Struthio camelus: one gene and its partner. The protein of the gene in region 2 interacts with the protein of the main gene of each other region in a pairwise test. Links are inferred from orthologs where the notes say so. Each region holds a gene or a part of one and is shown on either strand. Other genes may lie near its edges.

The links. The genes of interacting proteins can lie anywhere in the genome.
Region 1: the proteins of PSTPIP1 (region 2) and protocadherin beta-16-like interact in binary tests that used the Homo sapiens proteins (3 or more experiments, as listed by UniProt). The two-hybrid records come from large-scale screens. The link is inferred for Struthio camelus from reciprocal best matches to the Homo sapiens genes PSTPIP1 and PCDHB14.

The regions. Positions count from the first base shown.
Region 1 is NC_090954.1:22,385,967-22,393,309, reverse strand, and holds protocadherin beta-16-like, read left to right. Parts: upstream 1-4,324; 5' UTR 4,325-4,460; coding exon 4,461-6,956; 3' UTR 6,957-7,310; downstream 7,311-7,343. Other genes in the region: protocadherin beta-15-like, read left to right, coding at 2,153-2,272. UniProt on the Homo sapiens protein: Potential calcium-dependent cell-adhesion protein. May be involved in the establishment and maintenance of specific neuronal connections in the brain.
Region 2 is NC_090953.1:22,311,081-22,318,700, reverse strand, and holds the start of PSTPIP1 (proline-serine-threonine phosphatase-interacting protein 1), read right to left. Parts: upstream 3,016-7,620; 5' UTR 2,710-3,015; coding exon 2,677-2,709; intron 1-2,676. UniProt on the Homo sapiens protein: Involved in regulation of the actin cytoskeleton. May regulate WAS actin-bundling activity. Bridges the interaction between ABL1 and PTPN18 leading to ABL1 dephosphorylation.

The DNA.
Region 1 (7,343 bases), on a different chromosome or scaffold from region 2:
CTCGTCTCTTTGATCTGTCAGATCCAGCAAGAAAAGTTAATGGCTAGTTAAGGAAAAACAAATTGGAGCTGCCAAGCAATTTGCTGGACACATCTGCCATTTAGAGACTTCTCTGTGGTCTCGGTATAATCTGAAGAATAGTCAGGTATCTAAGCTTATCTCTGCTTTATCTGATGGGTGTTCCTGAGGAAAGTTTGAACAAGCTGCAGCTAGTATACTTGAGACTTCTTTGCGGATTAAAAGAAGTCCGAGAGACAGAAGAGCAAAAAAGAGGTATCTGATTATCTGATTCCTCTACCTACAAGCTGTAGCTTGAATCTACTAGGTGAATGCCTTTCAATTCCATGCATTCAACCGTACACATCCTCTTCTTCGGTCCAAGGGCTGCCATTCGCCACTGCTGGCCCTTATATCCTCCCCACAAATGCCGTGGATTTCCCTGTGCTCCAGTGGAGGTTGGGGTAAGTGAAATGATGGCAAGCAGTGGACAGGAAGCAAGATACAGGGGAGATGCAGCCCAAAAGCATCCACAAGCCGCCGAGGAAGAGGAAACTGAGGAAGAACCAGGGAGAGAAGGGAGCAATGCTGAGAGAAGTTGAGGAGTAACACAGCCCCGCCCAGCTTTGGCATGTGCTGTGAAGGTAAGGGCTGAGATGAGGGAGATTCTGGTGTTGTGTACAGGAGTACTAAAATAGTAACGGAGGTTGTAACGTGCCGCTGCAGGGAGCCCGAATCCTTTACAGTGAACACTTCACTCTTTTATCTCCAAAACATCCTTCTACTTGCAGGGGCAAGAAAGCAGTCTGTAAAAATATCCACCACCTGAAAGGAAAGGTCGGATCCTGCAGCTGATTTCAGTGGCTCTAAGAAAAATACCTGTTTTACTCCTAGTAAATACTGAAAATGATTTCATAGTGGGATTTTCTGACGGTTCACTAAAATGCAGATTTATACTTTAGGGAGTATGTTTAAACAGTTTAAGCCAACATTTACCTTATAGTGTCCTCAAGTATTTGTATGTTGCATAAGTCCTGAATAAATTAAATAACATTGGTCATTAAATTCCATTGTGTTACGTAAAAAAGAATTTCAGTTTTGTTCTGCTCTAAGGAGGAAGGTATTGGTACGGGATATTAATTTCCTCGGGCCAATCTATCACAATTTGGTTTCCTACCGGTAGGATAGCCACATCATCCGCAATGAAGTACCCCACATCCAACCCAATGGATGGCTGCTGCATAGCTAATACTGATCAGCCAACAGCTGTTAGTGGGCCTAAGATATAGCTCCTGCAAGGGAGCAAAGGGCTTTGAAAGGGCACGGAGGAAGTTAATGGACATCAGATGAGATCTCTCTTGCTTGCGACACTCCTTCTCCCTCTGGGCTGCATAGCCCAGTGTTTGTGGCATTTACGCAGCTGAAGGGAGTTAAGGTCTTCCAGATGCGATGTAAAGTAGGAGCCTAAAATGGGTCATGTCTGAGGTTCCCTTTAACCTCTTGGCTGTTTGAAGAGCATGGGAAGACAGACTAAAGATGGTAGTTAAAACAGCTCCTGTGACTTCTCCGTCTCTCCTTATTCTAGCATTGAGACCATGTCCCCTTTTAGCTCAGATTTTAGAGTTTCCAGGGATCCAGCTACCTCAGCATTTCATGAGGGTCCACACAATAAACAGCTATGATGATGAAGACCCCTCCATATGCCTTCTCATGGTCACCCCACAGCATCTCCCTGTTTAATTATCATTGAGTCAGGGAAATCTTCCACCTGCATTACTTCAGGTTCTCACATAACTGTAGTCACAATGACTTCGGGGGGAAATGAGGACCCACCTCGAGATATCAACATTAAAACACATTTTCTTTTTGTATGAAAGTTATTTTATTTTAGGATCTTCCCATTATATAGTCCCCCCTTCAGACTCATAAATGGTTTTCAGTGGTGCCCTTGGGATATCCACAACGAGGAGGATGTCTTTAGGCTTTAGCTTTGCCCCCTTTGGGTCAAAGAGGCTCCCCTGTCCCCCTCCTCCTTTGTCTCTGGGTAGAGAAGAGTACCAATGATATAACGCAGGTCCAGAAACCTGGGCACTTCTCGCTGACATCTACTTACTCTCAGCCTCCAATTGACAGCCCTCCATTCTGTTCTTTGCAGAGCAGAGCTCCGTTCTCTGAAGACACAGGTCGTAGGCCTGCGGAAGCAGGTTGCGCTGCTAACAAGGTGATAGGAGTAAATGACATTCCTGATCAAAACCCTTGGCTCACCCATCAGTAGATGAAGACAAGCATGTCTGTCCTCATTGTTTAACGGCCTCATGGAGAAATGAAAACGAAGAGATAAAATATGCACGCACAAAAAAAAAAAAAAAAAAGCCAAAAAGGCACAAGTCGTCTCTGCGAGAGAGCAAGAACACTCTCCTCTTATGTAGTACCTTGTTCACATAGGTATTTTGCAGCTGTAATATGGATGGAGAAGGACTGTGTTGCATGTTAATTACACCGAGTCTTGATGCATGACTGTGAGAGTGCTACTGTTTCTGAACATTATGGGAAATACGAAAACCAGAAGCAGATCTTCAAGAGTAATTTCTCCTTCATCATCTTTTCTGTATTTTTTTCCTTATGAAGAGAGTTCTGTAATAATATCTTAATTTTCTGCAGTCTGCTCAATGCCACGCCAAATACTTATTAAACAACATGAAGTTACGTGTGCAAGGGACCTCTTTAATAACAAGCAGAAGCTGATCACATTAGAATTGGCTGACTTTAGCACACTTTGCCTATTAGAGCAAGAGTTTATAGATTCGCTGTACTGTAAAAAGTGGATGTTTCTTTCATAATTTAAAATAGAAATGAGCAGTTATAGAGCATTTCAGGATAGCTGAGTGCAAGGTGGTAGAGAATTAGAAGTAGTATTAGTGGTTTTACAGTAAAATAGGTTAAAACTTTTATAATAAAGATAAGGCACTGTAAAATCCAGTGAGTCCAGAAGCTTTCTGTGTTCTTTTGCTTTCATTACTCGGCACTGAAATATAAAGTCGTGATACTTCCTGTTGCTCACACGTTTTTAAGAGTCAAATATCTGATGACGAAAAAACAATAAAACCTACTTGCTGGATCTCCCTCGGGTGAGTGTTCTGTGTCAGTCTGTGTTTGTTGCTGTTCACTGCAGCGAAGCTTCCAGTCCACGAGTATGATGTTAGTGCAGTGATATCTAACGACTAGTTCTCAGCTCAGCAGGAGGGCGCTCCGCGGCTGTTAGATACGGGAGGAAAGAGCTGTGCTAGGAGTTAAGGAGCTCTAACGACCTTCTCTAAAGTGCCTCGGAGGTCACCTGTCACAGCCATTGCCGAGGAAATACCCCAAGAGCAGTATTGCAGGAACAAAACGGAGCATTTTGGAGTGGATTTTATGCAGGGAAAATCAGAACACCCTGGGGGAAGGCTGTGCTCAGGAGCCACAGCAGGAAGCAGAGGCTTTGTCTGAGCTAGGCGAGTTCTCTCCTGAGACCCAGGATGCAAGAGATGCCGCTCTGAAGCCCCTTTCACAACTGCTCCCAGCCTCAGGAGTCGTAAATCGGCATAACGGTCTCGATCCATGCCAGAAATCCTCCCCAGAATCACTATCAGGAACGATGTAGCCATGGTTCATGGACCAGCTCTCTTTGGATGCTGGGCAGCTATAACAATACACAGTTTTTTAGTTAAATGGCCTTCAGGGACGACTCAGGATCTAGTGCTGGCTACCCAGGTGACTGCCCTCGTCTCTGATGATTTCAAGAGGAAGGAAAGCACCTGTCTGATACAGCCTCCCAGCCGCTTCCCTTCCATCACCTCTGATATCGCCAGCGTTTCCATTCCACCATCCAAGGATCACGGACATCTGCAATATTTCCGGCTGTTGACACTACTGCGGATGGCAGAAATCTGCTTCTAAACTCAGAAGTTTAGATTCGCAAAAGCTATTGTGTGAGTAAAAAAAGGAAAAAACAGAAGAGGAAAAGGTCGGGGGCTATTTGGGGAGGGGATCTATTTCATCCCGATGAAATTCATTGAATAGCCTAAGTGATGCTCTTGGAGTTAAAAGTTATAATATTAATCAGTCAGTGTCCAGACTTTTAAGAGATGTGTGTAGGCAGTTAAATCTGTACGCTCTGAACTTTGAAGAGAGGAATCGAGCGGTCTGTTTTGTCGGCTTTGCACTGGGAAAATATCCCCGTCCTTTGGCACGTCGGCCGCGTGGTGCCGCTGCTGACCGCGAAGGCGCGGAGGCGCCGCGCAGCTCCCGGCCACTGCCGCCGCCGCGCAGCTCGGCCTGGCGAGGCGGTTCGCGGGGCTGCACCTTCCTGGGGCTGCTGTGCTCGGGGGGCGCCAGGCTCAGATCCCTGCCTGCCAGATCGACGGAGACGCATCCATAGCTCCTACTTAGCTCACAGGGGGAGGAGAGCGCTTCCGGAGGCGAAAATGGGGCTGAGAAAAAGTGAGGAACCACTCTCAGGGCGAACGGTGCCTGTGATCCTGCTCCTCTGTGTGTCGGGGGTGAGTGCAGAAACCATCCGGTACTCTGTGCCTGAAGAGGCGGAGAGAGACTTCTTTGTGGCGAATATAGCAAAGGATTTGGGACTCACGGCTGAGGAATTATCGGCTCGACGAGCCCGGCTCGTACCTGAAGGAGAACAGCAATATTTACAACTGAACCAGCACACTGGAGATTTGTTTGTGCAAGAAAAGATGGATCGAGAGGCGCTGTGCGGGCAGAGCGAGCCTTGCCTGGTGAGGTTCGAGGTGTTGCTAGAAAGCCCACTGCAGTCCTTCCGAGCCGAGGTAAGCGTCAGCGATATAAACGATCATGCTCCCATGTTCTTAAATAGGGAGATGATTTTAAAGATCCCGGAAAGTGCAATGCCGGGAGCTCGATTTTTGCTGGAAAGTGCTCAGGATCCAGATGTGGGGAATAACAGTCTCCAGCACTACCACATCAGTTCGAACGACTATTTCCGTATCTCCACCCTGCGGCGGAGTGACGGCAGGCGCTACGCCGAGCTGGTGCTGCACCGAGCTCTGGACAGGGAGGAGCGGGCAGAAGTCACCTTCAGCTTCACGGCTGTGGATGGCGGGTCTCCACCGCGTTCTGGTACATCCTTGATCCGCGTGCAAGTTTTGGATATAAACGACAACATCCCGGTATTCACCAGGAGTCTATATAAAGTCCGAGTGCCTGAAAATAGCGCTGAGGACACCTTAGTGGTGGGGGTGTCTGCTAGCGATTTAGACGCAGGAAAGAACGGGGAAATAGCGTACTCCATCGTTCCAAATTCAGAGGAGAATCACCAGACTTTTAAAATAAATCCAGAGACAGGGCAGATTCGACTCAAAAACCCAGTGGACTACGAAGAAACAAAGACCTACGAGATAGATGTCCAGGCCACGGATGGAGGCGGCCTGTCCGCGCACTGCAAAGTTCTGGTGGAGGTCGTTGACGTGAACGACAATGCCCCCGAGGTGACCATCACCTCCCTCACCAGCCCCCTCTCGGAAGCAGCCCCACCGCAGACCGTGGTGGCCCTGTACAGCGTGCGGGACCGGGACTCGGGGGACAACGGCAGGACGAGCTGCGAGCTGCTGGGCGACCTACCTTTCAGCATCGTGGCGCTGGCGCTGGCAGACTCGTACGCACTAGTGACGGCGGAGGCGCTGGACCGGGAGCACCACGCGGAGTACAATGTTACGGTGCGGGCCCGTGACGCGGGGGTCCCGGCGCTTTCCGCGGCGCAGACACTACTCGTGCGGCTCTCGGACGTGAACGACAACGCGCCCATCTTCACCCACGCCTCCTACACAATGGTGCTGCGCGAGAACGAGCCCGCGGGGACGAGCCTGGGCCTCGTGAGCGCGATGGACGCGGATGTGGGGAAGAACGCCCGCGTGAGCTACGCACTGGTGCCGCCCGAGCCTGGCGCCGCAACTGTGGCCTCCTTCGTGTCGGTGGACGCGGACAGCGGGGCTGTGCGGGCGCTGCGCCCGCTGGACTACGAGGAGGTGCGCGCCTTGCAGGTGGTCGTGCGCGCCGTCGATGGCGGCTCGCCGCCGCTCAGCGCCGAGGCGGTGGTGCGCGTGGAGGTGCGGGACGAGAACGACAACGCGCCCGTCGTGCTGCACCCGCTGCCCAACAGCAGCGCGGCGGCGGGCGAGCTGGTGCCGCGCTGGGCGCGGGCGGGGTACCTGGTGGCCAAGGTGGTGGCGGTGGACGCGGACTCGGGGCAGAACGCGTGGCTGTCGTACGAGCTGGCCAAGGCGACGGAGCCGGGGCTCTTCCGCGTGGGGCTGCACAGCGGCGAGGTGCGCACGGCGCGGGCCGTGGCGGAGCGGGACGCGGCCAGGCAGAGACTCGTCGTGCTCGTGAGGGACAGCGGCCAGCCGCCGCGCTCCTCCACCGTCACCCTCAGCCTCGCCCTGCTGGAGGGCTTTTCCGACGCCTTCCTGCAGCTTTCCCACGCTCCTGCGGGCAAACCGGAGGGCGACGGCGACGGCGACGGCGACGGCGACGGCGACGAGGAGAACCTGCTAGCCCCCTACCTCGTCGCTTCCTTGTGCTCCGTCTCCTCTCTCTTCCTCTTCGCCGCCGTCGCCTTTTCGGGGGCGAAGCTCTGCAAGGGTCGACTACGAGGAAGGCGTTCACCTGCCTCTGCGCACGGTTACGCCGCTGGCGATGTCTGCAGTAGTTTTGCGGACGTGGCCGGCGCGGGCACTCTGTCGGCGGCTTACGGCTATGAAGTGTGCTTGAGCACCGGCTCGGGGAAGAGCGCGTTGCAGTTCCTGCGAGCCGTCCTCCCGAGGCCGCCTCTTCCGCAGAGCTGCGCTGAGGCGGGCAAGCCCAGGGACGAGGAACTCCTGTCCCACTCCCAGCCGGCTTGTGAAGGGGAACTTAATCAGGTGAGAACAGCCCCTCCGTATGTTTAGTTCCCCGCACCTCCTCGTCCCCTCGCCCCATCACCCCTTCCTTTCTCCTCCCTCCCCCACCGCTCCCCGCCGGATACTTCTTGGAATACCATGACGCCATGGGAGGCGCGTCTACGAGTAAGCCTTCCTGGGACCGAGGGAAAGCCTGATTAGTCCCACCAGGGGAAGAGCCCTTGACAAGTGTTTCGGGTGGAAATGCGAGGGACTGCCTCAGGCAGCCACGTTTGCACAGAGCAGCACATCCCGAGTCATCTCTCTGCGGTCCAGAGCGGCAAAAGACGTAGTGGAGTTAGCAGGCGTGGTGGGGGCATTTGGGAGAAACAGCTAACTGTACGGTAATCTGTATGTTCATGCGCTTTGCTTACAGTCCCGGGGAATGGCTTGTAA
Region 2 (7,620 bases):
GTAACAGTAAATTGAACGTTACTCAGATCTCTGTCTAGTAACATAACTCTGTTAACGTGAAACTCAGCTGGTATCGCAGACGTGCTCCTCATTAATACGGAAATTTACCTAGCTGTCTAATACGATGTTAGAGAAGACAGGTAACATCTGTTACATTTTTACAGCAGCACAGCAGAATATTAATCCATTAGTAATTGCTCTGCACTGGCTATCAAAACTGATTCCTATTTTAATCTCCCTAAAATTTTCAAAAGAAATATTGTCAGAGGACAGGAAACTTCTGCTGAAGAAACACATTTTACTGGAGGCTTTGAGCAACCTTCCCTTAAACCATTACTTGAGTGTGTGGAGGATGTAAAAGCTAAGAAAACGGCATTAAAAAATATAGTAGTTTTAGCCCAGGACTTGATAAAGTAAAACAAAAAATAGCACAAGCGTGACACCACTAGCACAATCCTATCATTGCTACATTTAGTAGGGGGGAAGAGAAATTAAAAATTATACCAGTTACAAGCAACGGCTTACATTCTCCTGAGAGATAGCCCACCCTATCCTCAAAAAAGTTTGAGAGACTTTGGGGAAGAATTAATGATGCAATTTCTCTGCTAGCCAGGGAAGATCTGCTGCTTTTAGTGTTTGTGTTCACCGCAAAAACGTACATATCTTACATTGTGTCGGGTACCCGAGCTACTTCTGCCTATCCAAAAGCCTACTGAAATAAAAGCAGGGGGTTGTTGCCTAGGAATACCTAGTCAGGGTGAGTCCCCGGCAGGGGTGCAGCGTTGTCCTCAGGCAGGTCTCGGAGCTCAGGCATCTGTTTTGAGTGATCTACTATGATGCAAATGTACTTTTTGTTTTTTAATCATGAAGACGGTCTCCATTCATGATACAAATTGAATAAAGGAAACAATTGCCCACCAAAGCAAACTGAGCAAATATGTTTCCGTCTTGCTAATGGGTACAACAGAATCTTGTGAATGCAAAAATAATTGCTGAGCTTGCGATTTGGGGGGGAAAGCTGTACTCTTTTGCTTCATTGTGCAATATCCTGCAAGTTTTCATTTTAAAATGCTTTTTATTGCATAGCTAAGACTATCATAGCACACAGGATACATCATGCCCTCTTAATCAAGCCTGGCAATAGAATGTTTTCAGCCAAACAATATTAGAAAAAAAGATCCTTTCCTTTAAAGAAAATATGCACTTCAAAGCCAAGAAGGGATTATACTCTTGCTAACATGACTAAACACAGTAAATATACAAAATGTATCAGTTCTAAAGTAAGATTGCACAATTCGGAAGGAAGTTCAGAAATGCAAAAGCTGAAGTTTCTGTAGTAGAACGGGGTTATGTTTTATGCCCTGCGCTGTGCTTTTCACTATGTGGTTGGTAACCTTGCAGAAGAACAGGTGGGGAGAATCTCCCGTAGGTGTGGTGAAAATGAAAATCAATGAACCCATTAATTTTTTTTTTTTAAATGAAAACTAATTTTGGTATTTCCTCATTACATTACTTTTAGCTGTTCAAACCTAGTACTATAGTGGGGGCAGGGAGGATTCCTGGAAGCGTCTGAGGGAAGGTGGTTTACCAAAATGTGTTCTTGGGTCTGCCCATCTGTTTTACTAAGAGAGAGTTTATCCTGGAGGGAGGGTGGGCTGAAAGAACAGCACAAAAAGCACAGGCACCGTGGAGGGTCCATTTGACCTAGCTTGATGGGCAAATGGCAGGAAGAATTCACCTGCCTTTGTCTCTTTATATATATGCCAATCCCTGATGTTGGAAAAGTGATTGTTGAGACAGGAGGCAACCAAGGGACATCCTGTATTTCCAAACTTGCTACATGTGGGGGGTTTGTTTGTTTGTTTTTTGTTTTGTTTTTTCCCTTGAAACCTCAGCCCCAGAAGCAACTACAAGAGAATCTCAGATTATACTTGCCAGATAAATGACTAGAGCTTTTCCCCCCTTGTAACCGCAGAGAAAGAGCACGAAAACAGGACACCCAGAGATGCTTCGACTGAAAGTCAAATAAGAACCGAGCATATCTGCATGCTTTAGTGTCCACCGTTTTTAAGCCAGTTCTGAGAGTTCTGGCTTCATTCTCAACCTCACGGCTAGTTTTTTCCACCTATGGTGCCCTAGGACTCCTGCACACCCTAAATGCCTCATGCACACGCTTTTGCATGTAAGAGCAGGCACGGGTGAGCAGTAACGTTTTGCATATCGCTGGTTGCCTTTGCAGGTGCTGCTCAACTCTACATGCAAACGCTAGAGAATTTATATAGTAACGGGTAGCAGTTCACCTGCTCGGAGGAGCCGCTCCTAAAAACTGAGGGTACTCGCTGCAAGCAAGCGCTCTTAGGACAATGAGACAGACAAATCCATGTCCTTTCCAAAAACAATGTTTGGACATAGCTTAGAAATTAGGAATGTCAGTTGTTCGTGTGAATTAGACATAATCCTTTACAAAGCTTCCTTCTGTTTAAGACCGAATGCTTAAACTACCCAGACAGTATGTTTTTGCATGGAGGCAAATTTGTTTTTTTTACTCAACTAAATTTAAAATATAGAAAAGTATTAAATTAGATTTAAACTCTATTTAAAAGTAAGCTGTGTTTTAAATTATTTTTAAGTATAGATACATTTAACACAGGAAATACTGAGGAGATGCTCACTTACCCAAAACGCATCTTTAAACTGCAGCTGTGTCATTATTATCGATTTGCAGAGCGGAAGGAATCTGTCAGCAAGAAGTTTGTTCTCAGAAGAGAGCAGCAGCAGCGGCGGCACTCAGCTTCAGAGCTGTCGCTGTAGCCCGGCCCAAGCAGAAAGTGAAACACATCCACGCTCCTGGCTCTCTACAGTCAAACTGGTGAAAACCAGCATTGGGCAATTTCAGGCAGCTCAGTATAATGACCTGGAGAGGGGAAGGGGCAGAGGGGAAGAAAGGCTCTTGCTCACACAGGGAGACGTGCACACGCTCAGCCCCTAGCCTCAGACCCGTTTCTCTTCTGGTGAGCAGTTAATATTGAAATGAGGAAGCAAGGAGATGTCAAGTGATGTCAGTTTGTTCCTTGCCATGTGTGTGCATGCGAGCTGCTTGCAGGAAAAAAAAAAAAAAAGAAAAAAAAGAAAAGAAAAGAAGAAAATTCAGTGATATGACTTGAGCAGCTACTGCAGAAGGGGGAGCAATTAAAACACAAATGAAACCAGCACAATACAAACAGATAAACGGGGGAGGAAATTAAACTGCGATATAACTCTGCGGTGTTACAAAGATTAAAAAGAAAAGGATGTGCCACATTTCTCCAGTACCTTCTGAGGTTGGTAGAGGCACATGTATATGTGTATATATATACGTATATATGTATACACACACACTCACAGGAGTGTGTGTGTACACTCACAGAGCTGCAAAGCTGCATTTTGCAACTGAAAATGCTTTTCAAGACTCCAGCTAAGCTACGGCCATTGCAAAGTGTACAGGTGTGTGCACGTGTGCGTAGAGATCCTCTAGGTGTATCTGGAAATGCTCTGATTTGCATCTCCTCATGTAAATAACTGTATGAATAAAGAGGGTATGTGAAACTGAAAAGTAAAACCCAAACTCGGGAAGGACATTGGGATAAGAGTTAGCGCGAGGCCCCGGGTGAAGGGCTCTCTGGCCTGGCCGTGCCCCATCAGCACACCCACTGCAGCGCCACAATGAAGTATTTCAAACAGCTAGCTAAATAGGCTAACAGATTCATTACAGTATGTCCACAAATAATTGATAATAGTGTAATACGTCTAACGCATCCATAAAACCCTCCTCCGAACGCCTGCTCTACAGGAGAAGTTGTCTGCTCACCCCCTCAGAAGTTTTTAAGGAATCTGTATTTTAACATGAATTTTGATAGGGCAGGAAAACTGAAAGGGAAAAAAAGGAAGGAAAAACCTCCCCCCTTAGCTGACTATGAAGAAGTGCATCTTCATAGTATTTTATTCACTTCCACGCCAACAACACATCGGGATGCCCGTGTCTCGCTTCCTTCTTACTGCAGCGCCGGGCGCGTGGGCGGGCGTCTTTAGGGCGAGGATGTCTCTTACCTTCGCTGAGCTCCAGCTGGGCACAAAGATCTGTTCAGAGAGGTCTCTCAGCAGTCGGCGGCTGGAGTTACGCGTAGTCACTTAACTAGCAATTTACTGGAACCGATCTCCTAGGAAGCGGAGAATACGGCCGTGTTCCCTTCCTGGCGGTCTGGAGAGGAGCAGCGGCGCAGGGCGCAGGGGACGGGCAGCGGTTCTGCGGGGGGAAAGCAAGCGAAAACAGAGGAGGGCAAAAGAAAGCAAGCGTTTGCTGGGCCAGAGGTGTGAAACTGCTTTGATTGCCGTGAGAGGCAAGAGAAAAGCACCATCACGTGAGGGAGGGAGAAGGAGAAAAGTGAGGATTCACTTGCAAAGGGTGTTGAGGAGAAGGAAGTGAAGCTGTCTTCCAAGGGTAAAAATTCCCTGCGAAAATGCATTTTGAGGTCAGGTCGTAATAGTTGATCTGTTTTAAAAAAAGAAGTCTTTTTAAGAATGTTTTATCTATGTCTTTCTAAACCTAAGCATTTCATCATTTTATTTGCAACTTACAGCTTTGTTTTGAAACTGATAGTTTTGCTGCTGCTGGAGTTTATAAAAAAAATGCATATAGTGAATGCAAAAATGTGTTTAGATCAATGCAAAATGATTTGTTATTTTTGCATTATTTTCAGTTTGAGCCCAAACCAAAGAGCCAGTTGTTGGATTCAGGCTAGTGCTGAGCTCCGTGCTGGGTCTGTCCCACCCAGCGAAGCCTGCGTAACCCCGTAACCTCCGCTAGGAGCGTGGCAGGCAGAGTTTCCTTTCTAGTCAGAGCAGAAAAACAGGCAGGTAGGTTTGCTCTGTGAGTGCGTGTGTGTCTCTTTCCGTTGGCTGCAGAAGAGTCGAGAGCGTCTGCGTTCCTAGCTCAAGTATTTCGGTGGCTTGGCTGCAGTTAGGTGGCGGGAGGCCCGGCCTCTAGCTCCGATGAAGCAGAGCTCTTGGGCGCTTGCTTCATCTGACGCTGTCCCTGGGGGCAGCTCACATGTTACCGTGTGCCTGGCTTATGGTCAAAGGCTCCTGCCGCTCGCACGGGTTGCCAAGCTTTGCAGTGCTCTTAAAGGAGGGGGAGAATTATGTTAATTTTACAGCTGAAGAAAGTGAAACCTACAGTGACCAAATGGTCACGGCCTTAGACGTCAGTGCTAGAGCTGCAGGCCTGGGGCAGGGTTGCTGAGAACCTTCTCCCGGTTGTTCTGCTTCGCAGCTGCCACGGTATGAGTAATAATAACACGTGGTCAACCAGCCAGAGAGGCACAAGCCCAACGCAGCTCTCCTCCTCTGTGCTCAGCATCACCATCTCGGCTTGGCCAGCGTGTAAAAACCTTTCACTGCAGCTGGCGACGGATGGCACTGGTACGCAGAGGAGGCTGCGTAGTCCTGGGGGTATCCCCTCCCTGCGTTAGCAATGCCTGGGCTCAGGAAAGCTGGAATAGAAAAATTTTCCTTTTCTTCCTTAAGCCAAAGCACCAAAGACTATCAAAAAGTCTTACAGTGGATAGCTAATAAACTTAAATCTGAACTGGACTGCTGTAAATACAGGTTTGTAGGAGCAGGTTTCTAGTTGCAGAAGTAAAAATGTCATCAGTCAGGTCAAGAGCGATGCTAGCGAGTGGCTGGGTAGCAAGCTTTTCAGGTGCTTTGAGCACACTATCCTATGGGTCTGGCCCTCCAGAAGTCTCGGTTTAATGTTCTGGAAGTGGCCAAAGGGACAGCAGGGCCTGCATTCACGGGGGTGTTTGGGAACCCAAGTCCTTCTTGAGCCTTTCTGTGCCATTGTGAATCGAGGTCTCACTCTTTCTTATTCAGCTTTTTCTCTAAAGAGGGATGGGAAGTCATAATGGAGAAACAAAAAGCTTCAGAGAACAAAAATTCTCTTAAAAAAAGAAAATGAAAGAGAAAGAATAAGGCCATTAGAATGGATGCTTCACTAGAACAATTATACATCCGCAGTAAGACAAATAATACCCTGTCTTGCTGAAAACCCTTTTATCACACACAATCTAATCACAGCATACATTTTAGTACAATGTGGGTATACGTGCCTTGCTGGCCGGGATTTACAGTAAATCTGTTTCTGAAAAGCACTTTAATTCCCTGTGCTTTGTTTCGTTTCATCAGCACCGTTCTGCTTTACTGCTCCTACTCTTGTTTTTACGATAAAGGTGTGCAGAGGAGAGAAAAGGAGACCTGTCATGTCTATTTGACACACCCTTTAACTGGCAACACAGAGCTGGGCTGAGCGGTGGGTTTTCATGGGGGGCTTCCTAACATAGCAGAGCGGAGTGATTTGAGTAGTTTCTTTAGGGACAAGTTGTTTAAAGGGGCATCACGCACTGGCAGAAGACAGACACCGATACACTCACAGTTTGAAATTTCACTAATGATGGTTACACTGAGCGCGTAATTTTGCATGGAGTTGAATGTCTTTTTGAGTAGCACATAGCAAGTATAGCAAGCCTCACTCGTTAGGCGTCACAGCCAGGCTGTTTGGGGCCACAGATACACGGCAACCAGGATGAAAGTAAAAAAGCAGTACTTGCAGCCTTCTGTACCCCCGGCATCTGCTGAAGATGCTTGAGGGTTAAGTGCTCTGCTTTGATACTCTTGAGCGTGGAAATTATCTGTATCAAATGAAGGTTAATGGTCAGATAAATTGTTCAGAGTGCATGGCCTGGCTGGAAGATGGGGGACTTCTGGCTGGGGCTTTCCAGGTCAAAAAATAACGAGATATGTGAGACCTGAGAAGAAAGCCAGCTGCCTCTGGGCACAGAGCTGTTGTGTCTTGCCCCGTTCTCCTGCCACAAGCCAGGATGATGCTGAGTTGCAGGCAGGTGGGTTCCCCGGCCGGGTCCCCTCCTGCGGGAGCATGGTGCTGCTCTGTCCTTTGCCCCCATTTGGTCTCCTTCCGCAGAAAGCACAGGATGCCACTCCTCAGGCTGACTGACGAGGAGCTGGGCCGTGGCCCCAGCGTGCCCCAGCCCTGGCGCCCGAAGGCGCCCTGGCCCTGCAGTGCAGCAAAGCCCGGGAGAGCACCCAAAGTGCGATGACATGCTCCGCTTTCTCCACTGGGTTATTTGCCCGCATCCACCTTTTTCTGAGGACAAATGGATCTTGCAGGGCTTTTGGCTTGATGCATCCTCAAGCATCCCTCATTTTCATCCTATAACTTCGTTTCTACAGGGTTTTGATTTTTGGTTGTTTTTTTTTTTCCTATTTTGGTGTGTATTTTAACCAGTGAGGACTTTGACTTCTCCCCAGCTGTGACTTTCCTTGACCTGGATCCCCCCAGGTTCTCCCAAAATATCTGCAGAGTTTCTGGAGGAGAATATTGTCTTTGAGCTGTTTCTTACTATCTCTCAAGGAAATAGGACTTCCGTCTGTTTCATGAATAAAAAAAAAACTATACCAAGAAAATTCTGGTTTTGTCTCAGCAATTCTTGCTCAGTTTCTGTAAGACTAATCGTTCAGTGGTACGTTTCTAATGGAAACGTGTTAACCTGAGGACGGTCAAATCCA